Caenorhabditis elegans: one gene and its partners. The protein of the gene in region 3 purifies or fractionates together with the protein of the main gene of each other region. This does not show direct contact. Each region holds a gene or a part of one and is shown on either strand. Other genes may lie near its edges. The genes, in order: lpd-3, Y23H5B.8, gtnt-9 and wdfy-2.

The links.
Region 1: the proteins of gtnt-9 (region 3) and lpd-3 fractionate together in Caenorhabditis elegans (co-fractionation; one large-scale study listed by BioGRID). This does not show direct contact.
Region 2: the proteins of gtnt-9 (region 3) and Y23H5B.8 fractionate together in Caenorhabditis elegans (co-fractionation; one large-scale study listed by BioGRID). This does not show direct contact.
Region 4: the proteins of gtnt-9 (region 3) and wdfy-2 fractionate together in Caenorhabditis elegans (co-fractionation; one large-scale study listed by BioGRID). This does not show direct contact.

What each region holds. Positions count from the first base shown.
Region 1 is NC_003279.8:3,595,557-3,603,877, forward strand, and holds the start of lpd-3 (Bridge-like lipid transfer protein family member 1 C-terminal domain-containing protein), read right to left. Parts: upstream 5,174-8,321; 5' UTR 5,122-5,173; coding exon 4,952-5,121; intron 4,401-4,951; coding exon 4,209-4,400; intron 3,419-4,208; coding exon 3,254-3,418; intron 3,207-3,253; coding exon 3,064-3,206; intron 1,951-3,063; coding exon 1,744-1,950; intron 743-1,743; coding exon 420-742; intron 1-419. Other genes in the region: Y47G6A.3 (uncharacterized protein), read left to right, coding at 5,773-5,848, 6,459-6,516, 6,592-6,682, 6,729-6,816, 6,942-7,087, 7,135-7,302; Y47G6A.31 (RING-type domain-containing protein), read left to right, coding at 7,868-7,910, 7,988-8,198.
Region 2 is NC_003279.8:2,544,350-2,551,940, reverse strand, and holds Y23H5B.8 (T20D4.11-like domain-containing protein), read left to right. Parts: upstream 1-3,541; 5' UTR 3,542-3,613; coding exon 3,614-3,820; intron 3,821-4,608; coding exon 4,609-4,737; intron 4,738-4,786; coding exon 4,787-4,975; 3' UTR 4,976-5,555; downstream 5,556-7,591. Other genes in the region: nspd-8 (Nematode Specific Peptide family, group D), read left to right, coding at 351-566; Y23H5B.3 (T20D4.11-like domain-containing protein), read right to left, coding at 5,788-6,000, 6,078-6,134, 6,181-6,306, 6,974-7,168.
Region 3 is NC_003280.10:3,842,724-3,850,154, reverse strand, and holds gtnt-9 (Glycosyltransferase family 92 protein), read right to left. Parts: upstream 3,828-7,431; coding exon 3,627-3,827; intron 3,579-3,626; coding exon 3,490-3,578; intron 3,449-3,489; coding exon 3,264-3,448; intron 3,118-3,263; coding exon 3,020-3,117; intron 2,954-3,019; coding exon 2,801-2,953; intron 2,752-2,800; coding exon 2,548-2,751; intron 2,504-2,547; coding exon 2,319-2,503; intron 2,276-2,318; coding exon 2,110-2,275; 3' UTR 2,012-2,109; downstream 1-2,011. Other genes in the region: nhr-72 (Nuclear receptor domain-containing protein), read left to right, coding at 1-49, 93-286, 359-585, 632-833, 884-958, 1,006-1,059; C17A2.3 (N-acetylgalactosaminide beta-1,3-galactosyltransferase), read right to left, coding at 4,646-4,777, 4,821-5,078, 5,133-5,562, 6,274-6,336, 6,383-6,546; C17A2.7 (Methyltransferase FkbM domain-containing protein), read left to right, coding at 6,750-6,938, 7,179-7,298, 7,351-7,419.
Region 4 is NC_003280.10:9,315,828-9,323,516, reverse strand, and holds wdfy-2 (WD repeat and FYVE domain-containing protein 2), read right to left. Parts: upstream 3,653-7,689; 5' UTR 3,640-3,652; coding exon 3,576-3,639; intron 3,505-3,575; coding exon 3,303-3,504; intron 3,248-3,302; coding exon 2,901-3,247; intron 2,730-2,900; coding exon 2,612-2,729; intron 2,492-2,611; coding exon 2,132-2,491; intron 2,086-2,131; coding exon 1,929-2,085; 3' UTR 1,639-1,928; downstream 1-1,638. Other genes in the region: Ras-related protein rab-39, read left to right, coding at 608-849, 903-1,092, 1,143-1,256, 1,306-1,449; csa-1 (WD_REPEATS_REGION domain-containing protein), read left to right, coding at 4,045-4,088, 4,369-4,515, 4,560-4,646, 4,691-4,924, 5,153-5,344, 5,400-5,700, 5,752-5,829. UniProt on the Caenorhabditis elegans protein: Plays a role in coelomocyte endocytosis.

The DNA of each region.
Region 1 (8,321 bases), on a different chromosome or scaffold from region 3:
TTACAGTTCTGTTTTTTTTTAATTTTCAGAATTTTTAAATGTTTTTCAAACCAAATTTATTAAAAATATGCTAATTTTGATGTGTGTAATATAGGAATTCATTTTTTCTGAATTGAAAAATTACCGAAAACAAGAAAAAAAAAGTGAAAATTTTCCAATAAATCGAAGAATTAATTTTAAAAAAAACTAAACCTTTTAATTATTTTTCGAAAATCGAGAAGTGATCAGATTTTCTATAATTTACAGTTTAAAAAATTTTTCAAACTTATGCAAAATTTGTGATTTTTCAACAAAAAAAAATTGAAAAACGAAAATTTTCCTTTTTTGGGAAATCGGAAAACCCATTTTCTAAAAACTAAAAAAAAACATTTTTTTTCGCGTTTTCAGCATAAAATCCAAAGCCACCACAAAACACGTACATCAAGACTACTAAGTGGTCCACATCGAGTTCTAATACTCTCCAATTGTTCTCCACGCATAAACCAAATATCCATACAAGTTTCTTTCGTTAAAATAATCTTCACATCATGTTTCACATGAATCCTCTTTTTTCCTCTCGTCGGCATCGCAGTCGCTGTCGAATTTTGAAAATCGGGTGGATAGAAGAACGAATAAATAAGAAAACGTTGTTGTTCAGCCCATGGACCATAGGAGAGTACTGTATTGTTACCAAAACGCCATTCAGATGACCAGAGTGGAAGTTTTAAGGTTATGCTTTGCGGCTCATCGTCTGTTACGTAACCTGCAAAATTTTTTAATTTATTTAAATTTTTTTTTTGAGCATTTGGGCAAAATTTTGGTCAAATTTCCGATTTTTCTGTTTTTTTGAAGACAATTTTCTAATTTTTCTCGAACGTTTTTTTTTTTGATATTTCAAAAAATCGAGAATTTTTCCCCGAAATATCGAGAAAATAAATATTTTTGAATTTTTTTAATCGAAAACTTTTGTGAGAATCGTTGAAAATTTCTCGATTGTTTGAAATATCGAGAAAAATTAGAAAATGTTATTTAAAGTAACAGAAACTATCGAAAATTTTAAATTTCGAAATTTCGATTAAAAAAAAAACGAAAAAATATTTCATTCTACGATATTTCGCTGGAAAATTCGATTTTTTTTCTGTTTTTTTTTTAATAATCGATTTTTCGAATTGAAAAGCCTCGTTTTTTTTCGGCAAAAAAAAAACAGATTTTCGCGCACTTTTTGTCTAGTTTTAGCCAGTTTTAGAAGAAAGAGATTTTTTTTCAGTTTTTAATTTTGCAAAAAATTTCGAACAATTGGCTTAAAAGATATTTGCTCTTCAACTCTGAAATTATACTAAAAATCATATAACTTAATATTAATTTTAGCTTTTCGTCAAGTAAAGGAAAAAATTCTGAAAATGCGAAAAAATTGAGAAATCATTCATTTTCAGAAATTTTTCCTTGAAGAAAAGCTAAAATTAATATTAAATTATATGATTTTTAGTCTAATTTCAGAGTTGAAGCAAATATCTTTTAAGCCAGTTGTTCGAAATTTTTTGCAAAACTAAACACTGAAAAAAAAAATTTATATTCGGTCACTTCTGTCTTTTTTAAAAATATTTTTTAAAACAGAATCCCCAAAAAATCTAAATTTTTTGAAATCTAGAGGATCCATGAAAAATCCTTTAAGATATTCAATTTTTCAGAGTTTCCAGAAAAATTTCGTTTTTTCCAATCGTTTTTCCAATTTTCAATTTCCATTTATTTCCATCTAATTCCAACCTAATAAATCCTGTTTATATACAAATTCCAACGACGCTGACTGTAACAATGGACATCCATCATTTCCCATTGTTCTCGGCGGATCTTTATCTTTTGCTGTGAAATCGAATTGCTCATTTTTGATAAGTGATACAGCGACATTTTCCGTTTCTCCTTCAAATGTGAGTAGAGCTCGATCGTTGGCCGATTCTGTTACACTCGTTTTGCCTCAAAATTATTTTTTTAAATAAATGTTTTTTACTCATTCGTTTGACGGTTTATAAAGGTCAAAATGTAGCTTTAAAATTTTTTAACCTGTTGAAAATCATTTTTTCGGGTCATTTTGCAATTTTTGTGGGTTTTCTTTATGTTTAGGATCTATTTTCAACTCTTAAAACACCTTTTTGCGAGAAAACTAAGGATATCAAAAAAATTTCACGACTTTTTGGCTAATTTTGCACATTTTTCATAATTGAATTTTCAGAATTTTTTTTTTCAATTTTAATTCATCATTCGAGTTTTTTTTTTAATGTTTGCAGTAAAAAAAAAATGAAAATCGTTTTAAAAAATTCTGCGAAATTAAAACTACAGAACTCGTTAAAGGCGCACACCTTTTCGCATTTTACAAGAATTATTTTTCGTTTCGAGACCCAGTATCGTATCGTAGTTTCGGAGCAAAATTTCGGGCCTGTATAATAAAATTCGAATTTTGACTATTTACAGCTGGTGTGGTCGAATTTTTAATTGCATTATTAGACTTAAAATAGCCCGAAAACACCGAATTTCATAATGAAACTTTTTGAAAACTTCTCAAGAAAAGGTTATGACGGCTCAAAATATGGCCTAAAATTAGTTAAAATTTGAAATTTGACCGACTTGTCAAGCGGCTGGAAACTAATTTTTTTTTTGAAATCACCGTCAAATTTTGAGTATTCACGTCAATTATCTTGGTTTTTCAACTCGATTTAGGTATTTTAAATACGATGGACCGCGAGATGTGGTTAAAAAAATTGAAAATCTCGCCGTCCATCGACTTTAAAATACCTAAATTGAGTTGAAAACGCAGGATAATTACATTGTATACTCAAAATTTGACGGTGATTTCAAAAAAGTTAGTTTCTAGCCGCTTGACAAGTAGGTCAAATTTCAAATTTTAACTAATTTTAGGCCATTTTTTGAGCCGCCATAACTTTTTTTTGAGAAATTTTCAGAACTTCTCATTACGAAATTCGGTGTTTTCCGTACTCGTTAAAGGCGCACACCTTTTCGCATTTCAAGGAATTTTTCGTTTCGAGACCGGGTATCGTAGTTTTTTTTTAAATTATTTTTTTAAAACCTCACTATTCAAATTCTCAAATCGTGTCCATAGAGCATAGGGTAGGAATTTATTTCCGACAAGAATGCATCCAGCAGACACTTCAATATGTACAATACCCAATAGATTCCACATATTCTCCCATACAGACGACGGAGGTGATCTACAACTGAACATTGGCTTAGAAATATCTGCACGAAAATTCGATAATATTACGTGTCAGGAGGCTTCGTCTGAGGCCGCCGTGCATCGTTCATATTCGTATTCTCGAAAAACCAATCAAATCTCCGAATTCTCGCGATTTCCGTGTATTTTGTCAGATTATTGTAGATATTAACGTGTAATCCGTTGAGCACAAGATGTAATCGGGAAGCTCGTTTTCTGGAATTTTATAGGATTTTTTTTAGCGAAAAATTGGATTTTTTTGCAAAAAAAAAATAAAATTTTTGAAAACAAAATTTGAGAAAGTTTTGGCATTTTTTGCAAATTTTTAACAAATAAATTCTGCCACTTTTGCGCCCGGTCTCGACACGACAAATTTTGGCTGAATGCGAAAAGGTGTGCGCCTTTAAAGATTACTGTAACTTCAATTTCGTGGAATTTTCATAGATTTTTCATAGTTTTTCGATAAAAATTTATGATTTATTTTTAGAAAACATAAGAAATCGATAAAAATACATAAATTTCAACAAATCGTGAGAAAAACTATTACGGAGACATCTACAGATGAGTTTTTCGCCATATCATACGAGAATGGGTCTCGCCACGCTGAAAATTGGCTACTGTAGCTTTATGGGCCGCTATTGAATAATATTCATCAAACTAAATTGAAAATATTATGCATTATCGGACCATGAATCGACCCAAGCTACAGTAACTCGTTTTCAGCGTGGCGAGACCCATTAGCGTAAGATATGGCGAAAATTCTCACCTTTAGATGTCTTCGTAAATAGTTTTTTTCACGATTTTTTTGTTGTTGGTTTTTTCAAATTAATAATAATTGTAATAACTAAAAAACTATAAAAAGTCGATAAAATTGAAATTACAGTACCCTTTATAGGCACACACCTTTCGGCATTTAGCCAAAATTTGTCGTGTCGAGGAACCGTAGTTTTTTCGAAAAAATCGACTTTTTCGTTGTAAAATCGCAAAATCTAGGGGAATAACGAACGTTGAAAGATTCAAATGTCGATGTTCCACAGATTTCCAATATTTGAATAATAAATGTCCATCGTTAACTTTGATCGTCATATCTCCATTATCATAAATTACGTTTCGAAACATTATTTTGCCGGCGTGCAAGCCTGAGATCGAAATACCACCGATTTTGAAATGGATTCCATTTTTTGATAATCGCAAATATCTGAAAAATGATTTTTTTTTTCGATTTTTACCGCCAGTTTTGTTGGATTTTTCTTTTATAGTGCCCAAATAAATTAATTTCGCAATAAAACTTCTTAAAAATTGCATCAAAAATATCTTAATATTTTATGGCGGTTCAAAATTTCAAAATTTTGGAAAAAAACCTGATTTTAGCAAAAATCTTTTTAGCTAAAATTTCGCAAGTTTTTCCGTTTCTCAGTGGCCGGAAATTAATTTTTATTCGATTATTATACTCTTTGGATGCTTATCTCATGTTATTTCGTTGATTTAGGTATAATTAAAGCTTAAAATGTACCTAAATCAACGAATAACGAGAAATAAGCGATCAAAGAGGAGAATAATCGAATAAAAATTAATTTCCGACCGCTGGGAAACGGAAAACTTGCGAAATTGGAGAGTTTTAGCTAAAATTAGCCAATTTTTTCAACTTTCGAAATTTTAAATCGCCATAAAAATTTATTGAGCAATTTCTAAGAAGTCTCCTTGCGAAATTAATCCATTTTCAAGCAAAAAACCTTCAGTTTTACTCACTTATCTATAACAAAAGTGAAAAAGAGTGCGCTGACTCGCGAGAAAAACAATACGACAAACGTGCTCCACGCCAGGAAAAGTGTGACGACAGAAGCCGTGACCCAGAATGAAACTCCTTTTAAATCGAGCTGAGCATCGTCGATTTTGATTTGAATATCGAAATCCGACATTTTTTTTCGTTTTCGCCGCCGCCTAGAACCCGTAGTAGCCGACTGACATTAACTGAAAAATGAAAAACACATTTTTTTTTTTGGGAGAAAATGCGGAGAAAAATAGCAGAAAAACATTAAAATTCGCGAAAAAATAATAAAATAACAACATTATCAGCATAAAAAATGAAAAATAAACAAAAATCAACACTGCTGAAAATGGGAGGAAAACGCGCCCCATCGCACTTTTCCAATTGGCGGGGATTCAAATCAGTAATTTTACAAAAAGAGTCAGTTTAGATTGTTTTCCCAATGTTTTGAAGTGAAATTAAATGATAAAATATAGACAATTATTTGTTTTATCTGAAAATCGATATTATTTTTGTTAAAACAATTGAAAAAGTGCGAAAATTAGTCAATTTTCAACTTTCACACAGGTTTTGTGCATTTTTTAAAGATTATTTTAAGAGCAAAAAGTGAATTTTAATGGAGATAAACAAAAATACTCAATAAATAAAACGTTAAATTTAAAAAATTTATCGATTCAGTTCTCCGTGACCTTCTAAACTCAACAATTTTTCTGGAAAAACGTGTTCCACTTTCGGTTTTTCCCCAAATTTCAATGAAATTATTCAGTTCTTGTTATTGAATTCTTCAAGAAGTGAGTGAAGTATGATCGATCGCAACATAATCAAGTGTGCACAAATCCTAGTCATCATTCAACTTGGCTTCATTGTTCCCGGAAATGGTAAATTTGAATTTAATTGCAAAATTCTTGAATTAAGGAGATTTGCGATCGCCTTCTTAATACGGTATTCAGTTTACTTTGCTTTCCATGTAAAAGCTTATTACATAGTCGTCAAAAAATGAGAAATTTCGCCAAGCAAGGTCTCGCAGCGTAGTTATATATTCGTCGTAGGACCTTGTGCGTCCAGTGTGGCTGATTTTCGACTACGCACGTGGTGTCAGAGTGTCTTGATCTACGTAGATCTACAGAAAATGCGGGAGAAGAGACGCAGAGTTCTCAACTGATTTCGTATGGTCAAGAACGTGCTGAAGCCACATAATTTTGGGCATAAAAAATCCCGCATTTTTTGTAGATCAAACCGTAACGGGACAGCCTGGTACCGCGTGACTATGTACGTAATACAGTAATTTCCGGTACTTTGTTGCTGTGGTATTTTTATTGATTTTTAATCGAAAAAATCGTGTAAAATTTGATGAAAATGCTGCAGAGGAATTACAGTACTCTTTCAACTTTTCGTTTCGAGACCGCGTACCGTAATTTTAGGGCAAAAATCGTAGAATTTCAAATTCCGGTGCCAACATTCCAAAACATTAATCAAGCTCTCTTTTAGCAAAAATGCAAGCCTTCTCGATTAATGTGACGGAATATTCAATGGCATATCGATTTAAGTGAGATTTTCTTCTTAGATTTTGTTGCTAGAAACTAAATTTAATTAATTAATTAAATAATTAAAATCTTTTTAGCATTTTGGCAATTGGAGGCATTTTCAACATGACAATTTCATTGTTCAATCTTATCTTTGCCCTCTTCAATTTTTACCTAATCTTTGGAAGGGTAAGTGTTCAGAGCTAGAACCCATACAAAAATTCATGATTTTCAGTATGATTTGAGACTTCGTCAAATTGCTGAAAAACTGAAAATCGCGGTGGACGAGATGGCCGGAAGGGATTTGCACCCGAAGCTTAAAAGTTAGTATTCGCAAAAATTTGTTTGGGTCTCGCAGCGAAGTTCCGTCTATTTTTGGGGCGAGGCCGTGACCTCGAGAAGAAGCGATACAAGTTAGAGAAAAATTAACATTTCTCCAAATTTTCAGTGTCCCTCTCGCGTACAATTCCACGGGGAACTTCAATGCTTGATGACATTTGGAAGTTGCTCAAAGAGCCCAGTGCACTGTTTGATAATGCTAATGATCTACTCCCAGGACAGAAAGAAGAACGTATTGATAGAATGAATGAAAAGGTGAGCTGGATATGTTGGAGCCGGAAATTTAGAGATTTTCTTTTCAGAAAGAGGAAGACGCAAAAACTCCGAAAAATTCGAAAAATTCGAAAACACCGAAGAAGGCCAAAATGCCGAAAAACGCCAAAACGCCAAGAACGCCAAAGTCTTCTGCGTCAAAAACGCCGAAAGCCAGTACAGTTAGTGGAAAGTTGGAAAAGAAGAAGAAGAAATAAGGAAATGTACTATGCTTTACACTTGTCGGAAATAAATTTTGGTTCTTTAATTTTTTTAAATTTTTTGAACAATTTTGGAGTTGGATAACTGCTGAATTACCGAATTGCCGATCTGATTAATTCCGGCAATTTGTCGGTTTGCCGGAAATGTTCAATTCCGACAATTTGCCGGTTTGCCGGAAAATTTTAATTCCAGCAATTTGCCGATTTGCCGGAAATTTCAAATCCGGCAATTTGCCGATTTGCCGGAAATGTTCAATTCCGACAATTTTCCGGTTTGCCGGAAATTTCAAATCCGGCAATTTACCGATTTGCCGGAAAAATCGTTTCCCGTCCACCTCTGCTACAAGTGATACAACATTCCCTTTCTCTCTCTCTGTACCATCAAGTGACAATATAATGAAAAAATACCAGCAGCTGTGTGTTCGGGACCACCGCGTACGCGCGCACTGTGACCCTAGACGATCGATAGAGTGGTCTCCAAATGGCAGATGTACTCATTGCAGCTGTGCAGTATTTCTCATCAGTCTTGCCCCACCCGTTGCGCGGTGTTGTCTCTCTAGAAATGGCCTCCCGCCTCGAATGCTCAATTTGCTTCTTCGATTTTGGTAAGTATTTTTTTCTCTACTAGTCTAGTCTTTCTGCCATAATTCGCAGTTTTTTTTTCAAATTTCCAATTTTTCAGATGACTTCCAGCACCTGCCAAAACTATTGGAGAACTGCGGTCACACATTCTGCTACTCTTGCCTTTTTGATTGGCTCAAAAGCCAGGACACGTGTCCGATGTGCCGAGAAGCGGTAAATATGACGCAGGAGATCCCGACAAATGTGGAAATTCTAGCCGTTTTCGAGAAAAAGAAGGCGAATCCAGAATGCAATTGTGATGATGAGTCAAGGTAAGCTCTTATAAGAATAATCGATAATTTGATTCGAAAATTGTGTTTTAAAAGTTATGAAAATGAAAAAAAAGAAGAAAAACTACTTACAAATCGAAAAAGAAAGAAGTATGCGAAAAAATC
Region 2 (7,591 bases), on a different chromosome or scaffold from region 3:
ATTCTGAATGATGTGTATTGGTTTTTATGTTTTGAAAAAATTGAGTTTTGCCCCAAGAAAGCACGAAGTCTAGGGTAAAATATTCGGTAAACAATGTGGAAAATTTTGTTGAATTTTTGGCTTCTGACAATTTGAGTCCAAACGGTAATTTTCGCGAGACCAAAAAGTCAATTAATATGATAATTTGTCTACTTTTTGTAGTCTAGAGATCTATTTCTCGATAATTTCGGATGTGTTATCCTGAAAAGTCGAAAGAACTTTAAATAACCTAAATCTTTGGCTATATAAGGAGCTTCAAATCAGTCAAAAATTCAAATCGAGTTTTCAACTCTTTACAATCGACGAGAGAAATGGCAGACAAGTCCGCTTACATGGGAGCCGGTGGATACGGATCCGGCTACATGGGATCCAATGCGTCGTCTTCTGGATACGCCCGTGAGGACTACGCCCAGGGTGGAAATGGTGGATCAAACAACAACCAGCAACAAGGATCCGGAGGAAACACCAATCCAGGAGGACAAGTGTTCAAGGCTCGCACCGATCAATCGTGCTACCTTGGACCATAAGTGTGAAAATAGGAAGACTCTATTGAACCCTATTGAAAACCAAATAGTCGCTAATAAATTGTATCATTTCCGCCGGTTTTTTTTTTACTTTTGTTGGTCCGAAATTAAAGCTGTTAAGGGCGACGTTTCCTCTGGTTTTGAGCGAAGATCTCGCACTTGATACTGAAATATTGTTAGTATATTCTGAAAGAGCTTAAAATTTACTACAAGGTTTCTGAAAGACATTTCAAAAAAAGTTACTTTGAAGAGATTTATGAATTTTCAAAGTTTTGAAAATCCATCTATTTTTGCCTATAAATGGTAGTTTTCATTAAATAATAAAATACGCACTAAAAGGTAGGGCTGAAAATGTACTCTTGTACTCTAAATGTACTCTAAATGTAATATCTTTTAGTTTTCGAGTTATGACAGTTTTATTAATGAGCTTGAACTGAGCTTTTCCATACCTTTATGGCAGTGACTGTACGTAAAATTACTTACAGCTGCGTAATTTTACTAAATAGCCCGGTAAAAACTACGCAAAACCCCTAAAAGCCCTTTCGTAAATCTACAAGACTACACTGAAAAAACTGTAGATCAACTGTAAATTCACACAAGCTGCCTATAAAATCGGCTCCCTTTCACCACCAAGTCTCCTGTTGAGGACATGGAAGAGAAATCCAAACTTCGGCCATACCTCCGGTGCGGAATGAGGCGGCGCATTTTCAATAGAGTGCGCATTCACTTGTCGTATATCAAAGAAAAAAAACACATAATAAATACAATCATTTATTTTTATAATTCTCAGGGCATTTGGATAAGTTCAGATGTTGTCAGAGAAACGGTCAGAGATCATCCCAAATTCTGATAAGTCGACTGAATATTGGACGGAGCGTTCTGCACTTGAGCATCGTACGACGGTTTTCCAGAATCCAAATAGATCGATTCGACGCCTGCTTGGCTTTCCGGTTGAACGACGGCTGGCTCTGGCGGTGGTGGAGCTGGAGCAACAGCAGCTGGAGCCGGAGCCGGAGCTGGAGCCGGAGCCGGTTCCTCAACCTTCGGCTTCTCTGGTGGAGTCTTCGCTTCATCCTCGACTGGCGGCTCTTCCGGCTTCTTCTCGACTTCTGGCTTCTCGCTAGACGCTTTCTTCGATCTTTGTGATCCCTCCTTCTTCGATCTTGCAGATCTCTGCGATCACTCCTTCTGAAACAAAAGAGCTTCGTAAATATACACTGTACTCCGTAAATCTACACAAACCTTCTTCTTCTCGGACTTCTGCTCCTTCTTGAGTCGAGCCGATCTCTGCGATCCTTCCTTTGCCTTCTCCGCCGATTTTGCAGGCACTCCACTCTTGGCCGGTGGTGCCGGAGCGGCAGAATTGCTCTGAAAAGATGGTTGTTACAGTGGCCGAGAAATAACTCTTCCACTCACCTTAATCTTCTTTTGTCGTTTCGAGTTTTGTTGTCTCTTCGAGTTTTGCTTCTTGTCTCGTTTTGATCGTTTCGATCGCTTTGATCTCGCCGATTTTCCTTTGCCACCACGCGAATTCTCACGATGTCCGGTGGTACAGCCGACGGCAATGATCGCTCCAGAAATTGACGCAGCAGCAGCGAAACACACTGAAAAACAAGGAAATTGAGATAAATTGATATTTCCGGCACTTTTGGCAATCGATAATTACCGGCAACTGTCGCCATTGCCTTTAACTATTACGAACCGGCAAAATTGGATTTATCGGCGCTTAGCGGCAACTATTGTTAATTGCCGGCGACTATCAGTAATCAATAAAATTAGAGTTTCATTGCCGGCGGTCAGCGGTGACTATCGTTAATCGAAAAAAAAATCCATTTGTTACAAGTAATGGCTGCTGCCGGCCACTATCGGCAACCGCCGGCGACTACCGGCAATCAATAAAATCGGAGTTATTGAAGATTGTCAGCAACCATTATGACACTTATTGATTTTTGTAGACACGCCGGCAACAGAAGCGGCAATGCTCCGACAACATCCTCGGCGATCGCTCAGCAACCATCGGCAACTTTTCCTAAACTCACGGTAATTCATGGCACCATGGAGGTGCTCCATATCCAAGCTCATTGTGAAGAGTCGAAATTTCGAAATAATTGATTTTTCGCCGAACAAGATTTGTGGTCCCGTGAGTTGAGATTTGATTATTTGATAAGAAAGGTCAGCACGGTCATTGACATTTTTTTAATTTTAATTTTTTTCTTTTTAATATTTTTGAAAAATAAATTTTAAGTAAAATTTTAGATAATTTTTACAGTGGTCTCTTGTTGATCTCGGCTGGAAGAGGAGTGACGTCACAGATGGCCTAAGAAAATGTGGTGTGACCAAGTTTTCCGCCAATTTCTGTTTCAGAAATTTGTTTAAAAATTTTTTTTCTAATTCAACACTAATTTCTCCTCAGAAAATTCAATTTTTCCGCCAAAAAAAAAGTTTCCCAGAAAATTTGAATTTCTCGTCAAGTTTTTTTAAATCAAAAATTTGAATTACCCGCAAATGTTTTTCTTTAAAGATTTCAAGCTCCCGCAAAAAAATTTCTGAGAAAATTAAAATTTTTCGTCAATTTTTGTTCAAAAAAATTGAATTTACTCGCCAAAATTTTTGTTTCAGAAAATTTGAATTCCCTCCCATTAACTCAAACAATTTGAAATTCCCGCCAATATTTGCCACAGAAGATTTAAATTTTCCACCAAATTCCGTTGTTTCAAATTTTAATTCCCCACTAACTTTTGCTCAGAAATTTTGAATTTTTCTGAAAAAAATTTGAACAAATTTGGCATATCCCTTTAAAAAATATAGATGGCAGATAAAAAACTACAAAAAAAATTTAAGTCGATTTTCCCCATCTCTCCATTGGAAAAATCGATATTTCTATACCTAATAAATATGAATCCGTTGACCTCAAAATATTTGTTTTCCCGACTTCAGAGACTATCTCCCGGGAAGATATATCTTCACGGAGACGAGGGATATATCTTTCGATAGGTCATTTCTTCTTCTTCTGCTATTCAATTGTTATTATTCAATATTTATACACCGAAATGGCCAAAATTCTCTTGTTCCTTCTCTCGACTTTCTTCGTTTTTTCCATTGTCTCCGGGCAACAAACAAACTATGAAAATTGTCTCACGAAGCTCAACAAAATGAAGAATATTTTGAATAATTTGAAGCTGGAAACTACGAAACACGGCAAAAATGTGAAAATTGGTAATTTGGAAACATTTTATCATATGTGCATTGACACAACGGTTAGTTTTATTTTTTTCAGCAAAAATTTGAAAAATAGAGTTTCGAAAAATATTGAATTTTCAACAAAAAATTTCTGCAAAAGTAGTAGGTGGCCTAGAAATTCTGCGGCCACCGATTTCCAATTTTTCTCAAATGTAGTTTGTGAACATTAAATTCGTTTCAAATAATGCCAAAAAAAATTCCATGGGAGGCAGGCGCGGTTTCAGGGCCTGCCTTCATCCTGCCCGCCTCAGCCTCTGGCCTCTCAACATTTTTCTACACAATGGCGAGAAGGAATATTTAGCACATTGGCAAATTGCCGGTTTGCCGATTTGCCGGAAGTTTTTAAAGGGATTTTTTCATAAGACGGAAACACTTAAAACTGTGCTTTTTTGAAAATTTTCCCGTTTTCTTTAAATATTTTCATAGAATCTGCTCACTTTTCAAAATATATGTAGGAAAATTTATAAGGTACGTACAAATCTGCCGATTGAAATTGAAATTCTGAAATTTCCTTTAAAAAATTGTGCAAAAGCACAATTTGCCCAAAATTTTCGGCAATCTGCCAATTTACCAATTTCCGGAAAAATGGTTTGGTCGCCACAAGGCGGGCGAGGTAGGCTTCTCTGCGCCTGCGTGGAAGCCTACTGGATAGAGCTTCTGTGATCACAACCAAGAAGTGGGCGGAACGAAAGGCCACGCCCGTTTAACGGCTCCCAAAAAAATTATGAGCATCAGAGGCCACGCCCAAAATTTGGTACATCACTTTTAGTTTTTTTTTGATATTTAAAAAATTAAAAGTTTTCAGAACTGCGTAGAATCAATGGAAATCCCAGAGCTACTAAAAAGTATTTTGAGATTCGGAACAATGTTCATGAGATCCGCCTGTGAAGACTTGGGCTTAAAAGTCGGACCATTCAGTAAATGCATGGAAAAGGTACCTACAAGCTTCTCCGAAAAAGATCCTCTAGAACATTTTATTTCAGACAAAATTCGACGTAACTACTCTGAAAAACACGACGATTGGAGAGGATAAACCAAAGTGCTGGTTGACACCTGACGAGTTTTCAGAGCTTCAACGGGTTGTTCAAGAGCAATGCGGAGATGAAGCATGGGAGGATATGTTGAAGAATGAGGATAAGGTCAAAGTGATGACTTGTGAAAATCAGCCATAATGTATCCAAACGACATTCCGATTCGCGGGGGTTGATCCCCTTTTTATCAAATGAAAAGCACCTATATTGTGTTCATTGTTTTTTTTAACCTTATTTTAACTTTAACCGGGAAACGAAGCCCAACTCAGGATATGGGCGGACTCTCTGTATTTTTCGATGTATCGATTTCCTTTGTTTGGATTTCCGGGATCTTGGTTGAAATTATAAATGACCAGGACATTAAGAAAACATTGGCCATAACGATTTATTTTATTTTTAAAATTCTAACAAACTATCATAAAACTGTCTCTGTTATTTATTATAGTTATTTATTATTTATTTATTATTTATTTATTTATTATATTTATATATTTATTCCACAAATTCAATATGCGAAAAACGAACGAAACCCTGTGTGCCACTAGGTAGGCGTCTGCGCACATTCTGCGCCGATTAATTTCTTTTCTATTTATCGGAAAGTGCGCAGACGGCGTCAAAAAGTGGGGCTGGAGACCAGCCACAGCCCCAAAAGGAGCTCAGCCCCACTGTAGGGGCTAGCTAATAGTGCATCTTTATGTTTTAAATAAAAAGTGCATTCAAAATTTGCGATACATCCATTTTGAGATAGTTTGTGAGCTGATAGCTTGTTTTTAACGATATATGAAAAATTGGTCATTTTTTTCTGCGGCCGACTTGTTGAGATGCTTGCAGAGATTATCTCTAAAATGTTGAGAAGTAGGAAAAAGTTGTCATCTGGTCAACATTTAGTTAGTTGATAGCACAAAATTGCATTATATAAAAGTTTCAAAATTGCCTTCATTCTTCAAACATCTTCATTTCGAATTAGGATTACCTGAAATTTTGATTTTCAAGCTATTACTAGAATTATTTGAAGGCTTGTAGATCCTGTTGCATCCAAAATATTCACGAATAAAATTCTCATTATCCAGCATTTCTTTGACGGCACGGGGGCCGCATATATTTTCTATTGGCATTGTCTTGCATTCATTGTCAGCCTCGAAATACTCGCATGTTGGAAGTTGTGCCTAAAAATCATATATTTGTAATGCAAATGCGCTCCACAGCACGCAAAATTCAAACTTATGTAAAAAAGAAATCTTACCGCATTATTCCAATGGCTTAAGCACGGCCACTCCATTAATGTGATGGCATTTTGAATCTGAATTTTTTTTCAGTTTTTGTCTCTTTTAGTCTTTTTGGAATACCTTTGGAATACAATATCCAAACCATGATCCAAATGCGCCAATTCCATTACAAAGTTCGTCCAGATCCGTGATTTTCTTCGAAATTTCGTTGTCTTTTTTGTCGCAGTTTAGAGATTTTGTACAGCTCTGGAATATTGATTTTATTGGTTTATTTGATTACAACTAATTGGAAAAATTAAAAATTCTCAACTATAATACAATTGATTGAAAGCTTGATAAAAAAATATGCAAATATCAAATGACACGTGGTGTCAGGCTGTCCCATTACAGTTTGACCAACAAAAATGCGGGAATTTTACGCCCAGAAAAACGTGACGTCAGCACGTTCTTAACCATGCGAAATCAGTTGAAAACTCTGCCTCTCTTCTCCCGCATTTTTTGTAGATCTACGTAGATCAAATCGAAATGGGACAGTCTGACACCACGTGAAATGGGAGTTATATCCGAAATTTGTGCGTTCAGTTTTTTTAAAAGAAAAATTCAATTATTTCTAGAAAGGATTTTACTGAAGTTTTGTGAAATTTCGGTGGTTTTTTTTGGAGTCGAAAATATTGCTGGGATCTCTGAATCTTTTTTCCAGAAATTTTTTCTCTACAAAACAAGGGATCTACCGCGAAAAAAAATCAAGAAAACTTATAAGAACGCCACCACCCTGCTGACCCACATAATTTTTTTTTCATTTTTTCAAATTTAAATAATTAGTTTTTTGGGGGTCCATACACCTCTGATCCGAAGCTCTACCGCACAACACCCACTAATTTCAGTAGAGCGCATTTGCACCCACAAAACTTACCAACGCTCTCCTGCAATCTGAATACAGGGACTGCGCTGCTTTGACTGAGGGCAACGGCTTATTCGAAATCCAGTCTCGAATCAAATCCAACGAAAGTTTATTGCATCCGTACTCCAGATCGTAATGTCCATCACAATCATCAGAAAATGCAATCGAAAAGGAAACAAAAACGAATAGAAAATGGGTGAGACTCATGGGAAGAGAGGGGGAAAATTGAATGACACGAAAAAGAACAGAAAACCGTCCGAAAGAGAAGTGAGGATCAATAGAATTAGTTCGTTGATCTGCCGCACAGCGAATGGCTAAACTAAATATATTTGGTCAATTCAATTTTTGTTCTTTTGTTTCTGAATGAACTTGTTATTTGAATATTTTGAATTTTGGCGCCTGATTAGATGGTGCCTCTTTTGGGTGTAATGTGACTATTTCTCAGAAAATCTTAATTTCACGCCAACTTTTTTTCAACTTTTGTGTGCAATTAATTTTTCACAGGGGAGAAGATTGCTGGAGGCACAGAGTCAATTTTTCACAATTCAATTTCCACAGGTACTCTAGTCTTATTAAAAAAAAGTGGCACAAAAATTTTGGAATTTTGGTAGATCACCACTTTTTTGTTTT
Region 3 (7,431 bases):
TGCCGTGCGTGCCGTTACACCAATTGTCTGAAAGCAGGAATGAGCAGAGGTATGTAGTAAACTACTAGGCTCTAAAATCATGGATATTTAAGGAAACGAAGCATCAAGTCAAAGAAGTATTCCGTCAAGCGGATCTTCAAATTCTTCATCAACTTCAAGATCAAATTCTCCACAGACATACTCTGGATTCAGCAAAATTCTGAAGATTCATCATGAAGATCTGCTGCAATTTTATCTGGAAGAAGTTGAGAAGACAATGAGTCAAAAAAGGAGAAATGTGTCAAAGGTTGGTCAATTTCCGACCAATAAGCAATTTGAACTCCCGCTGAGTATTCAAGCCAAAATTTAAATATTTCAGAACATTCTCCTTGCAAAATCATTCAACGAGCTGATGATAATAACTGCTCATGAACACGGTTCTGCAATGGAAGCATGTATTGACTGTCCGGGGGTAGATCACTTGGAACAGGAAGATCTCAAGGTTTTACTGAAATATGTTCAATTCGCCAATGTATGGATTGACTCTGTTCGTGCTTATTCGGTCTCGGATATAGATTGTTTTAAAGAAGTTTCAGGACGAGATGAGTGGGTATTTAAGCTTAATGATTAAAATATAGAGTTCTTGTTCCAGCAGACTAACTGAATTCCTCCAACAAGTCAAGTCAACTCTGGGCTCCGCATTCGCTGAGTTGAAGCTGAACATCTACGAGTTCGCAGCGTTCAAAGCCTTTTGCATTTGGAAACTGGGATTTTTCTCAACTTCTCGGACAATGAAAACTGTAGCTGAGGATCATTATGATGGAGTCAGTTCAGCATTAAGGAATTATTATAAAGTGAGAATTTTTGTAATGAAATTAATTTTCATTAAATTTATTATTATCAGAATCAACTTAAAATGGACGATTGTGACATAGCAATTCGACTCGGGAATATAACATTGCAAATTGTAACAGTGACGGTATTTAATTTATTTTCAATTCAATTTTATACTTGATATACTTTCAGAACATTTATCACGACTTGATTTGCCTGCATCTGAAGGTTGGCATGCCTATATAAATATTATGTAATTATCTGTAACCAAATAAATTATTGATAATTAAAAATCAATTTCACTGCGACTTAAATCCCATTTGCCCCAAAATACTTGCGTACTTCTTGTTATTATTAATACTTCCAGGAAACTTTAGAGTACTCCTGAAAATTCTGGATTTGTTTAAATCTGTAAATTTAATGGGAAATTCTAGAAAAAATTGGGAACAATTGGGAACTTCAGGATAGGTCGAAAAGCTTCGAGAAATATGTGGAAGATGCAAGAGACTGCTCCAAAAATGAACATATCGCCATCCAACTTGATCAAAGCAATTTCAGCCTTTCAGAGTATCTAAATTATATTTTCGAGGGTTTTTTTTTTGAAAATCGACCATGACACAAATTATTTAGACGAGATGTCTAATAGGGTCACAAAGGTACGGTGAGTAGAGAAGATTCAATAGATATTTATCAGTTTTCGAGTTTTCAATGAATCTACAGTGCAAAAAAATATTCCTGGAATTTCGAAGATCCTTTCCCACTTGCTACTTGCTCGAAAATCACCCTTAGTCGCCCGTTGTTAATTGCTGTTGTAAAGGAATAATAAACATGTTCTGAAAAAAAAAAAAAGTACACAACGGGAGGACGGAATATTGTAGTTTGGTTGCAGTGAAAAGGGAAAAAGATATTGATCTCCGAAAAGACCCGGCGCGTTGACACTATTTTCAGAAGCGATGTGTCGCTTGAATATTAGGTCAGATTGAATAGGTTGCTTTTTAAAATAGTACCATTACTCTGATCTACATACTTATTAGTTTCAGAAAGTTAGCAAAATTTGATGTTTCACCTGAAAATAAACGTTTTTTCAAAACTTTGAACCGCATTTCAAAATTCGATCGTTTTGTGCCATTTTGGGTCTGAAATGTCTCAGATTTCAGTACTCCATCTTTATTTTTTTCTGAAAATTAATTAACCATTATCACTATAGCTTTATGTAATATTAAAATTGTGCCAATGAAAATTGAAAGAAAGTACATGTTAAACGTACAAAAAAATAAAGCCACATAAATTTAAAAATTAAATAATTAGATTCCCGTATACAATTGCAGCAGTATTTACAACATTTTCCGTGAGATTTCCTATATACTTTCTAGGATAGTCAGTATTTCTCAGAGGACCGAATTCCATCACGGTTTTCAACCACTTCTCTCCCCATTCTCCAAGTGATTGGTCACGATAGTGTCTGAAATTGAAAAATATTATAAGTAAAAAATAACAAAAAATACCTGACGAGTCCCTCTTCAGGCTTGAGCTCTTTCTCATAGTACCCATTCCCGGGGAAGAATTCAATTACTAGATGAATTGACATTATGAATACTTTTGTTGAGTCCACAATACATTTGGTTGTGTGTCCAGGACGGGCGATTCCGGTTGAATTGTGCCAGCGGTGAGCCGCCATCCATTGCAGCAGCTGAATCATTATTTTCTAAAAGTTAAGCCTAGCACTATATTCACCTGATCTTTTCCTTCATATTCCTGTGGCATCAGCTCTGTCTTCAATATCCATTGCTGTCTGAACTTCAAGCTACCGATTTTCTCATCGTCCACTTCTCGGATATAGTTCAAGATTGTTCCCGGGTAGTCGGTCATCACTAGACGCTCGTCTAAATCAGCGAAGATTGTCCATTTTGAGTGACCTCGAGACCAGATGTTGCAGTCCTTCAAGCTTTCCAAATTTTTCAGTTTGCGAGACTCCTAAAGTACTTACCACAACTTCATTGATATGCCGATGACGATCAGTTCTCAGACCTTTCTCGAGGAGATAGTGATTCTCGACGATTCCAAGTCCGGCGTAGTAGTCAATAACTTTAGAGTCATAATCCGAAATCTCATGGATGTAGTTATAAAAATGCTCAACACCCTGAAAAAAATTTAATGAGGTATGCACAGAAAAGGTCTGCCTGCGTAGGCCGGAGTGAGGTCTTACCTGTAGTTTGTAGTGTTCAATCATTTCTATAAACATCAACCATTTCGGCTCGTCTCCATAGAGTGGTGCAACGCACATGGACAATTCAAATAAGGGTTCTGAATTTGAGAAATTTTAAATTAGGTGTATTATAAATACTGTAGGAGTATTGTGGGAGTGTAAAATTTATGTAGGGTTACTGTAGGGGTACTGTAGAAATACTGTAGGGGTACTGTAGGATTACTGTAGGGGTACAAAAACCTACTTTTCAACACGCGATAAATTATTGGTAATGGTTTGAAGCTTCCAAACTCCTCTACACTCAACCCAATTTCATAAGTTCCGTCTCGCTTCGGGCAATTTACCACAAACTCCGGATATGAAAAAGTTTCATAGGGACGACCAATTTCTGCGCCATCCTTATCGACGTACCGGCAGTGAACTCGGTAGCTAAAAAACTATGTTGAAAGTTTATATATTTTCAGAATTACCCAATAAATTTCCAGGATGATAGTGTAATTGTGATTTCATGCTCAAATTTATAAGCGTACAGAGTGCTAACTTCTGTGGCGGGTATAGACTGTAATTGAAAATTGAAATATGAAGCTCAAATTTTGAAAAAACTCACCGAGTTTTGATTTTTCATGGAATACCAATCAAATCGATCCATTTCATTTATGCAATATTTAGAATTGTAGTTTTTGGACTTAGGCTCCGTGCAACGTCCGTTTGAATAGTTCTTGTACAAAATTATAATTAGAATAAAAATCATTGAGAGAATTAAAGTACCCGTTCGTTGAACTTTTTTCATTTTGATCGGGATGTCCATGGCAAAGTGAGATTGGCAGGCTTGTGAAGCCTTGTTCCATTTCAATGAAGCCGATAATATCTACAAAATCTCGTGCCGCCCAGGTCTACACGGATGTTGCGCGCTAAAAATTTCTCGGTAAAAATAGAAAAGAGGGACTTCACTTTTTTCTAAAACCATCAAATTTTTCTTTTTGAAAATAAAATTTAATTGTATATATGCATGATACCAAATCAACTGCAAATGTGCAGTTTTGTGGTTTGTCACATTTTAGGGCCTTTAAGCCTAACTGATTAGCCAATTCGTTCCAAATTTCTTAATATGTTTGAATGCTCAACATTTTGTTCTTTTTCAAAAAATTTTGTTTTATTTTGCAATAATTTCTTTACCTGAAACATGTCTCGACTTTCTCTAAATATTGATCTCTATCGAACTCTATAATATCTCCTACAATCTTTTCTCGAAAATAAAAAGAAGCGTGAAAAAGTCCAGCCTGCTGATTAATATCTATTCAGGTTTATTTCTGGATTCGTTAATGAAAAATTCCAGAACACAACAGCATTCAATACGCTGATCAGTTTGCATTTCAACATCTATTTTTTATTAACAAATCCAGAAAAACTTAATAGACTAGTCTTGCATAAACTCGTTAAAGAAAAATTTCAAAATCGACACAACTGAAGTAAACACCAAGGTTTTTGACTGAACAAATGTTAAGTATTTTCAGATTTACATTAGAAGCAACAAAGAGAACAAAAATTTATTTTTGAAAAACTATTTAATAATTAAAACATTATCTTCAAAAATTATCGCTAAAAACTACATCATCTTTAAAAAAATTAATAATTGAAGAAATCTGTAACATTAAATGTTGGTTCTCCGTTTTCTGAATAAAGTGATTTGTCGAGGGATATCATCATTTCCGGAGGAACTCGATGAAGTGTCACAAACTTTTTCGATATGAATGGATACTGAAAAATAATTATTTGAAGGTTTCGGGCCATATCAACCCACTTTCAATGGAAAATAATGCCACTTGGAACCAATAATGGGTATTTCGGCCGGTCTGAATGGCATAAATCGGTTCAACTCCTGATCGTCTCTAGTATCCGAAGGTGTGATTCCAACTGATTCTAGGCATCTTCCCATTCCTCGATCCTCTCCTCTATCGTAAGGACATAGCCTTACGTTGTGGTAGAGTTGTTCCACAAACATTCGCATTGCTGCGTTCGACAAAATGTACCCGGAGCCTCCAGAATTGTAGCCATTGTTCTGGAATGAAAACAACTTTTCAGTTAATTCTGTCCTTTCCTGCAATCAACCTACCATGAAAGGTGCTAATCGATATCCCAAGTATAAAGGTTCTGCTGGATTCAAAGTGTTTAGATACTCCCTTAAATGATCCATTGCCACAAATGTATCATCATCTGTCTTCAGGTACCAATCAAAATGTTTTGAAATGCTGGTATATGAGTAATACAAACTGAATATTGATTTTCGGAACAAATCATCATAGGTATCCCTTAGATTTCGGTAAACTGTAGAATATGCAATGTCAGGGTAAGGAAGATGAGTTTTTGTAAAGAATCGTCCGTGATCACACCTTGGAAGCCACGTGGAGGCAACTGATGGGACACGGTCTTTGTAATATTTTGTAGAAGTTTCAACGAAGCAAAATATCTGGCCGGATGTTGGAAGTGTGAACGTGGCAGGGGAATGTTCGATTCCTTGGATTAGGATTTGAACATCTCGAGTTCTGAAAACATTTTATTAGAAAAAGTACTGTAGGAGTACTGTAGTTTTGGAAACAATGTCTCTTGAGCTTTTGAAAAGTTATATGGGGCTGGTGTGGGACAGTATCGAGATGCTGTAGTGGAGCTGTAGTGTACTGTAATAGTTCTGTAGTTTTGGCAAAACTAGAAGTTTACGGTCAGAGCTTGCCGGGAATAGTACCGAGATACTGTAGAGGAGCTATAGGATTACTGTAATAATACTGTACGCAGTCAACCACTTCGGCTCATCCTCTAGAGTGGTGCAACGCACATTGACAACTCAAATTGTGTCTCTGAATTTGAAAATTTTGAAATTCTAAATGGTGTCGAAGTAATGTAGGGGTACTGTCGGATTACTGAACACAAGTATTATTCAAATGCTGTTAGACAGAATACCGTTTAAACTTTTGAAAAAAAATTATTGCAATTGACATTTATTTCCGATAAATTTAGATTTTATACTGAAAATCAAAGAATTTATTTTACTAGATATCAAAGTTATATCGAACACAAGAAACTCTCCGGACATTTTTTAAAAACTAACGAGATTTTTTATTTCTCAGTACAAAATATAAAAAAATTCGTTGGAATAAAAATTGCCAAAAACAACTCCCTGTAATTTTATTAACATTAGATAAACTAAAAAATACCCCAATAGGATTTTTACTATGATTTGACAGAGGCGAACAACTCACGGAAAGAAGAACTCCTTATATGGTAGAATAGCTGGAGAATATGCATATAACTCTGCTGGTATTCTAAAAAAAATTATTACTGGAATTAGAAAAATTTTTCAAAGCTTACTGAAACTTTCTCCGCTCTGGGAAAGAGATGTAATTGATCAGTGCCACCACAAAAACTGCCAGTAACGCAATCCGATCGATGCGGTCAAAACCGTGTCTTTTTGATAAGAGTTGCTGGGAGAAAATAAAACATCGAGTTTTAAACTTTTGAAGAACTATGTCCATTGTTGAATGCCAGGTGCCGAATTTTAGAAACTTTAATGGCAAATGTTTCGCAGAATTTCTTTGAGTGCTTATCTGGCGATCCTCATCGCCATCCAGATTGAAATCAAAGAAAGAAAAGATTATCTCGTTCCTGAATTTTTGAGGCTGAAGTGTAGCAGATTTGCTATTTAAGTCATTTCCATTTTCATTTAAATTTCACAAAAATGCGGCAAAGCTCAGCTTTAGTTTTTTTCTCGACTATTTTTCTATTTTTTCTGTGTTATATACGGACGCAGTCGAGATTTCAATTCAGTTCCAAAAATCCTGGAATTAAGACAATGGAGGAAAACTATGACGCTTGGCACAGTTGTTTTATGAATAATATTTCACACTTTGAAGGTTATCCAGACGAGGTAAGTAGCTAAAGCTTAGGCTTAGGCTTAGGCTTAGACTTGTCCCTACCTCAACTTCATAGGGATATCCTTTGGTCTGAAATGAAATATTTAACATTGTTTGGTCTTTTTTATAGAATGAAACTGTTCCAAAGTTTGCGACTCAATTTCACAAGATAAGATAACAGTTGTATTAGGTTTTCACGGTACATTTTTCACATTTAAAGCAAAATACTAATTTCAAAGACAATGATTTTTTAGCTTTGGGACAACATGTTCAACGGGATCCGAAGATGCGAATATATCAAAGAAATGAAATATTTACCAATTCTGGATTTTCTGAATTCTGACGAGGCGAAAAGACATATACTTCCAAAAATGGTATTTAAAATTTTAATTTGTGGAGAAAAATTTGACAACCTTTTTTGCTCAGAACCAACCTAGTACCATAGTCACTCTGGGCATCGGACATGATACCGGAGCAGAGGAGAAGCTTCTTCAGGTTTTGTTGTTC
Region 4 (7,689 bases), 5.5 Mb from region 3:
CGAAATTCTAATTGTGTAATTGAAAAGTTTTGGAAAACAGGTGTTTTCGAGAAATTTTGCAGAAAGAAATGTTGCATCTTTACTTGAACTAGATTTTCTACTCTATTCTTAATTTATTTATATCAGTATATGTTTAAAATAACGTCAAAAGCGGAAACATGAAACAAATTGATTCAAAAGAGCTCTATAATCTTGCGAAGACAGCGGAGGAGAGAAAACAGCGGTAGAGAAAGCAGAGAAAAACGAAAATCGATAATTTCGGATTCAAACTCGACGAGAATGCTTTAAAATTGAATTTATATAAAGAATACTCTCGAAAACCGTGAAAAAATTTAATAAAAATAATCATTAGTGTATATTATTTAGAAAACGGCTCTTCGGTGCGGGACCCGCCACCAAGAAAATTCTATGCGCCTTTAAAAAGTCAGCCGTTTTTATTTATTGATCATCTGATTTCTAAGATTTCTGCTGAAATTAAAAAGGTTTTCATTTAAAAAAGTAATATTTATTGATAATTGTTGCTCGGATAACTTTAAATTTATTTTCTTATAATAATTGCATCATTCTCTATTGGAAACGCTCAACAATATATCATTTTTTAGACAAAATGGAAACAAACTTCATTGGTGACGACTATGGACCGCTCTTTCACTACCAATATCGTCTTATCGTTATTGGGGATTCAACAGTTGGCAAATCTAGTCTTTTACGGTACTTCACAGAAGGAAAAATGGCCGAAATCAGCGACCCAACTGTCGGAGTAGACTTTTATGCAAGGATGATTGAGTTGAGGCCTGGATATCGTGTTAAATTGCAACTATGGGATACAGCAGGACAGGAAAAATTCAGGTATGTGGATTTTTTTAAAAAGAATATTAGCTGATTAAAAAAAATATTTTTAGATCAATTACAAAATCCTACTATCGGAATTCTGTTGGAGTCCTTGCAATCTACGACACAACGAATCGAGAAAGTTTTGAGCATGTTGAAAATTGGGTTAAAGAAGCAGCATTAAATTTGGGTGGTCCAAGCCCATCGAAGTGTGTCTTCCAATTAGTCGGAACAAAAAGTGATATGGATTCACAGCGACAGGTAATTTTTGAACAAAAGTTGTGTTTAAAAAATTGGTTAAAAGCTTTCAGGTAAACTATGAGGAAGGCGAGTACTTTGCCAAGTACCATAAAATGAAGTTTATCGAGACGTCGTCGAGAACAGGAGACAATGTTAATGAAGCTTTTCATATGATTGCACAAGAGGTTTTTTTGAAAATGTTTCAATTTTATGATGTAATTTTCAAATTTTTAGATTCAAAATCGAGTCGACGACGGAGAACTGCGGCCCGTGGATGGCTGGGAAGGCCTTAAAACTGGTATTATGAGGTCACAATCCGTGTGCCTATCCGAAAGAAGTTTCCCTCAAAACAGCAGCGCAGGAGCTTGCGGATGTTGATAATTTCTCCTCAATTTTTTAATTTTCCCCGTAGTCATAATTTCGCGTAGCGTTCTTATAAACATCAAAAACTCAGCTATTTTGTGTACTTCCTGTGAGCTTTCTCCTTCATCCAGTGTCACCAACCTCACCTACTCTCCCGGCATGCATTCTTTTGAAATAATTTCTAGTCGTTCTGTCCAAAAACTTCAAAAAAAAAGATTTTTTTTCAAACTTTGTTGTAAAAATACAATTTTACAGTCGAAAAACTAGGAAATTATCGGGATTAGAAGAAAAGTAAGAATCACAATCACTATTCAGGACAACCTGTCAGGGGTATCGGGAAATATTGGTAAGTTTTAGAAGGTCTTGATTTGACAACAATTGGTCTTGGGGAAGGATGGGCATTTTGAGAGTGAATATACAAAATAGAAAGGAGAGGAAATAAATTAGATGAAATACAAAGAATTATGAGAAATTCGAGAAGTAGAAGCAATTGTTTATTGTGATCCAGAAGGGGCAGAGCAAACACTTCGAACATCCCAAATCATAATCACACGATTCTGTCCACTGGTAACTAGAAGTCCGAGAGTTTCCTGGAGATGCATAGCAGTGATTCCAGTATGGATTTCATGTGGAATTGCAAGTGGAGTAAGGCTAAAATTGAAAATAAGTTTCATCAGTCATTTGCTTTACAACTTACTTGAAATTCTGTGGATTATCTTTCATTCGTGCATTGCAGTCATTACAAATGCGAATTTTCGTCTCATATCCCATTGGTGGATAGGTGGTCCAGTTGTCACAGCAAGATCCACAGACTGCTGATCCACAGGTTCTGCAGTGATGTTGTCTCAATCCGACCACTTTCCTCTGCCACATTGCTTGAAGATTCCAGAAGAACGGTTGATTGCATTTCTGACAGCAATCCGAAGTTTTCCATTCAGGAGTCTCAACTCTCTTGCAATTCATGTCCCAGCACATGAGCTTTCCGTGTTCGTCAGCCGAGAACAGACGTTTGGCTGCTGGAGCTGCGCATAGTGTTGTCACTTTTCCATTGTGTCCGCTGAAAAAAACATTTTTTAATTTGGAAAAATCTATTTCAACTAAATATAATTCAACTTTTGCGCTCGAAAAACATCAACACTTTCGAAATATCACGTAAATTCCAGAAATATACACTCACTTAAGCTCATAAGCTTCTCCTCTTCCTCCTCCGATATCCCACATTATGATGAGATGATCACTGCTTCCAGAATACAAAACTTTCTTATTTCCGTCCCATGTGAGCGAGGTGATTGCATCTGAAAAATCATTGAACTAATTCAAACCACAATTACTAATTGTATTGATTGTGGGGAATTTCAGGAAATACTGGAATGTTATACTTAACAAATATTTTTCCTAGGCACGATAGCATTTAAAATTTCGAATTAATATTTTACTCAAAAAAAAAGAATACGATAAAAACTCACTCGTATGTGCACTAAGCTTGCTGACAAGATTTGGTTGATTATCGACAATACGAAGAACAGTGACATGCCCACCATGATCTCCAACGAATACAAATGGAAGATCAATGACCATTGCTGTACAACTATTTTCCAAAAGATAACTTCCCATCTTATTTGAATTTTCTGAACAATGCCAGACGATAGATTTATCTCGAGAACAGCTGAAAATGAGCTCGGAGGAGAGTGCAAAGCCGAGTCCAGAGATTGGTCCAGCGTGACATGTCCATTTTCGGGATTCTGTCATACTGTTAAAGTCATCGGCAACACTGAATTCATAGACATTTCCATTGATAAGTCCGACGAGCAGCCTGAATAAAAAAATTAAAAATTTAAAAAATAAAACGATTTAAACTTTAAACTAACTTATAAGTTTCTTCACTGTAATAAAGACTTGTTGGAGCAACTGGCATGAAATGATGAATTGACGGCCAAAATTGATCATTATCTCTTTTTAAGTACAGGCGAACGGATCTATCATCACTTGCAGTCCAGACTCCTTCGTCTTTTGATAGTAAAATGACGTCATTGATACGAGCCACGTGGCCAGTGATTCTGTGAAGAAGAGCTGAAAATTAAAATAAATTCGAAAATTACACAGGTTATGGAAATCAAATGGTTCGTTTTCAATTCACCAACCTGGTTTGGCTCCTCCCATACTTGATTCGCCCTGTTCGACGCGTTGATTGATTATTGCAGCCATAATGGCTGAAAATCTGAAAGAAAATCAAATTGAATGCCAATAAATGACACATAAAGTTTAGAGGACGGAATGCAGATGTTTAAAGCAAAAATCGATAAAACCACGTGTTCTCGCCCGTTTGTTTACACTTCTGCACCTTTTTTACTTTTGTTACTATTTCTGAACTAAATATTTCCTTGTGGAAATTGAAATTTTTATCAAACTAATTTTGCAACCGGTCTGGAAACAGATGAATCAGTGCCCGGTAAATAACGGAAAACCGGTGCGGCCGAGAATGAACTTGTTTGGTGGACTCTAGGCCATTGGCTGTTTTAAGGAGGATATTCAAATTAACAGCAACGTTTGAGCTTTTTATTTAATCGTAATATATTTATTCGCATGTTTCTATAATTTCTCAACAGGAAAATGACTGTTCGTCACGAGGAGTACATGTTCAGCTGTGATTTGAAGTGAGTTTTGCGGTTTTTATGTGAATTTCGTAATAATTTTGAAAAAAAAGTGCAAATGCATAATTAAAATTTAAAACAAACGAGAAAAATAGAGAAATTTAATGTTAAAATGCGCAAATAAAGAAAATAAATGACAGTACCGCAATTTTTTCAAGGCGCAAGAGTCAGAAAACCAGACGGGTCCCGCAACGACTTTAAACTTTTATGAATTTACAGGCCTAGATTTTCTTACTGTACTAATTTTTTTTAAAATTTGAGTTATATTTGAAATTTTTTGCAGAAAACGCCGAGTTTTCGAAGAACAACAAGTTTCACGGGCTCTTTTGAATTTTCGATGGACAAAACATATTCCTATGGGTTGTGATCAGACGGGGAAAGGCCATCAAGAAGATATTAGTGCGATTGATATAGATGATGGTGACCAAATGTTGGTTTAATTAGGAGTTTGTTTAAAAAAAATTGATTTTTCAGGCTACTATTTGGATCTCATAGTGGTTCAGTGTCAGTTGCCAAATATAAATACTTGGATCGTAAAAAGTGGAAGAAACCTATGACTCTGTATGTAACAACCGCAATAATTCTAAAATTTATCAAGATTTCAGAAAACTTGCGAAGCAATCTCTGAAAACAATAAAATGGTGTCCAATCGATCTTCGCCTTTTCATGGTTACAACAGCATCAAATTGGATGCGAGTTTGTGATAGTACCATGGAAAAAGTGGTTCATGGGAAACAATTTGAAGGAGATGTTTATTTTGATTGGAATGAGTATAATATGACAAATTCAAAAGTTGCCGTGGCAGATGGAGGGAGATCAATGAAAATTATAGATTTTAGGTAAGCTTTAAAAGTTCCACGAAATGCCTGCCTACGTGCCTGAAGGCTAGTGGATCTTGTATTGAACAAGAGCTATATTTTGTTATGACTGCCTAACTTTCTAAAACTTTGGTCTTACAATTTCCCCTGGTCGAACCTCTTGTCTTAAATTTTTATGAATTATTTCAAAATTTAAAATTTAATTAAAATTAATTAACATTTTATATTTCAAAATAAATATCATTTCAGAGTCGGAATGGATCTACCTCAATCGATATATTGGAATGATGAACCAATTGATGTTGTACAGTGGTATCCATCAAAACATCATTACTTATATGCAGGACGACGAGATGGAACAATTGGACTATTTGATATTCGGAGCACACGTGGAGCAATTGCTGAGAAATCTCTTCACAAATCACAAATTTATGGACTAAAGTACTTTATTTTCAAAACTTTAAATTGAAGGTATTCTAAATCTCATAAATTCCAGAATATCTGCCGATGGACATCGTCTCATCTCTGCCGATAGATCGGGGTACATTCATGTGGCAGATACGTGGGATTTCAGCACAAAATTTGATTTTTCCTGTGAATTCGATCCACTTATGCAGCGTCGTCCAAATTTGGAATTTATATATGAGAAGGATTTTTATGTGGCAACGAATTTTGAAAAACTGACGATCATTCGGTTTTCTGATAATGATAAATCAAGAAGAAATCCAGATTTTCGAGAAGTTGAAGCAAAAGTGTTGTGGGATAAGCCCTTCATTTTTCGAAAATCAAGCTATGAGGTAGGATACTGAAAGTTGTTCAAGAATGAAACTGGGTGATTTTTGTTTCAGATAATCACAGGCTTCAACTACAATCATCTGAATATTTTATCCCTTGACAGATCAACCAAAGATCAAGACGAAGTATAGCAGGTCGCAACCAAAAAGAAAACACATTTTATAAAATTCTTTAATTTTTATTTTCTGGTCGCAAAATTTTTTACGAGTTTTAATACGATTTTTAAAGATGCATATGCACATGAATGAATATTTTCTAAAATTGTCACTCAAGCACTTCAAAATTAATCTAGTAAACATCAGATGTAGGCACAAAAGCTCGCGCCTGCCTTCAAGGTGGCCTACGTCTAATTTGTGCCTACTTCATAACTACACAAAAACATTTTTCACGTTTGAATTCAATGTTCGAAACTTAAATGAGTTCAAGCAACATAAAACTAAACAGTGCAAACAACAAACAACATAATTCACGCCAAAATTCAAACAATAGGTCGTAGGTAGGCTTCTAGGCAGGCAGGCAAGAAGCATTGAAGTTTTGCTGTAATTGGAGAAAGTTCAGTAATGTACAATGTATCACTCTAGAATATTGTAGCTTATGAAATATATTTTTGGATAGATTATTTATTTTGTTTAGAACTTTTTTTTGACAAGATACCTGATTTCTTGTTTGAAAACAATGCGAACCAATATTTTCTAGTCCATTTAAGTACATCAAGGTGACCTGTCCCCGTGTTCTATTCACTCGACACCATTGTTTTATACGATATAAAAGGTGTGAACATAATTGCACATATGCTCTAATTGTGTGCTCCTGTTACGTAATGTTAACAAAAGCGAAACAGGAGAAGACACACGCCTGAGACTCATACACCTGAGATGGGAGGGGGGTCATCGTGTGTGCACACATGATTAGTGTCTGTTTGGTGATTCGATTCCCTTCTCTAGTCTTTTCCTTCCGAATCCGCCAGTGAAACATTCCAAAGTGATATTATGTTTTATCACAAACTCACGTATTTTTATCGTTTTCTCTGGGGCTTGCCAAGTAGGCAGGTACGTGTTCAGGCGAACCTAACCGCCTACCGCCTATTTTCTGAATTTTTTAAAGAATGAACTTTGTTTTTTTTATCTCCTAAATGAGCCGAAATATAATCTTTGAAATCTAAGTAGTTATAACAACTTATATGTGCAATACTAATAGAAAATATACGGTAGTATAAATATATCATTTCAGTTTTCTTGATCTAATTTTGATCTTACATTTTATCTCAGCAACGTATTCTCGTATTGTATTAGAAAACGCCAATTGTTTTAGGAGTCTCATATAATAAACGAGCAAAAAATACAGTACTATTAAATTATTAATTGCAAAAATTGTTTGCGCTACTTACTGGGAAAATACGCTGCCAGATTGATAGCATAATTTTTTTGAGTAAAAATTCCGAAAAACCATTTCTTCCACCCTAAAACCATCTCTATTCTACTCTTCCCACACTCACCTATCATTGAGTGTGAAGTGTGTCAATCCAAGAGAACAATGTCAAGTGGATGATGACTACTTGCTCCGAGAGCCCCCAAACATTTTCCCGTTCCATGTTTAACATATGGTTTGTGAAGATCATTCTGCAAAATTTTAACACTTATGCAACACTTTTTCTTTCCAATTCCTAATTTTGAAATGGAGGATCTTTAATATTTCGGAAAGAAAATGCATCAAAAATCATTTCAACTGTAAATTGCTCATTCCAAAAAAAACCGATTCGTACTAGACGTTCCTGGTCATTTATCAAACCTTATTGTCAATCTGTTCTCAAGTTTTGCGGGTTTTCACAAGACACCCTTCCACTGCTGCCCCATGTCAATCACATCATCTGACAATCTTCTCTATTTCTCTCAAATCTGAATGATCTCTCAATCGGACACCATGAAGCATGTCCAGAGAAGCAACTCTTAAGCCGCCCATCATTTACTTTTTATCTCCGCCCCTCAAAACTT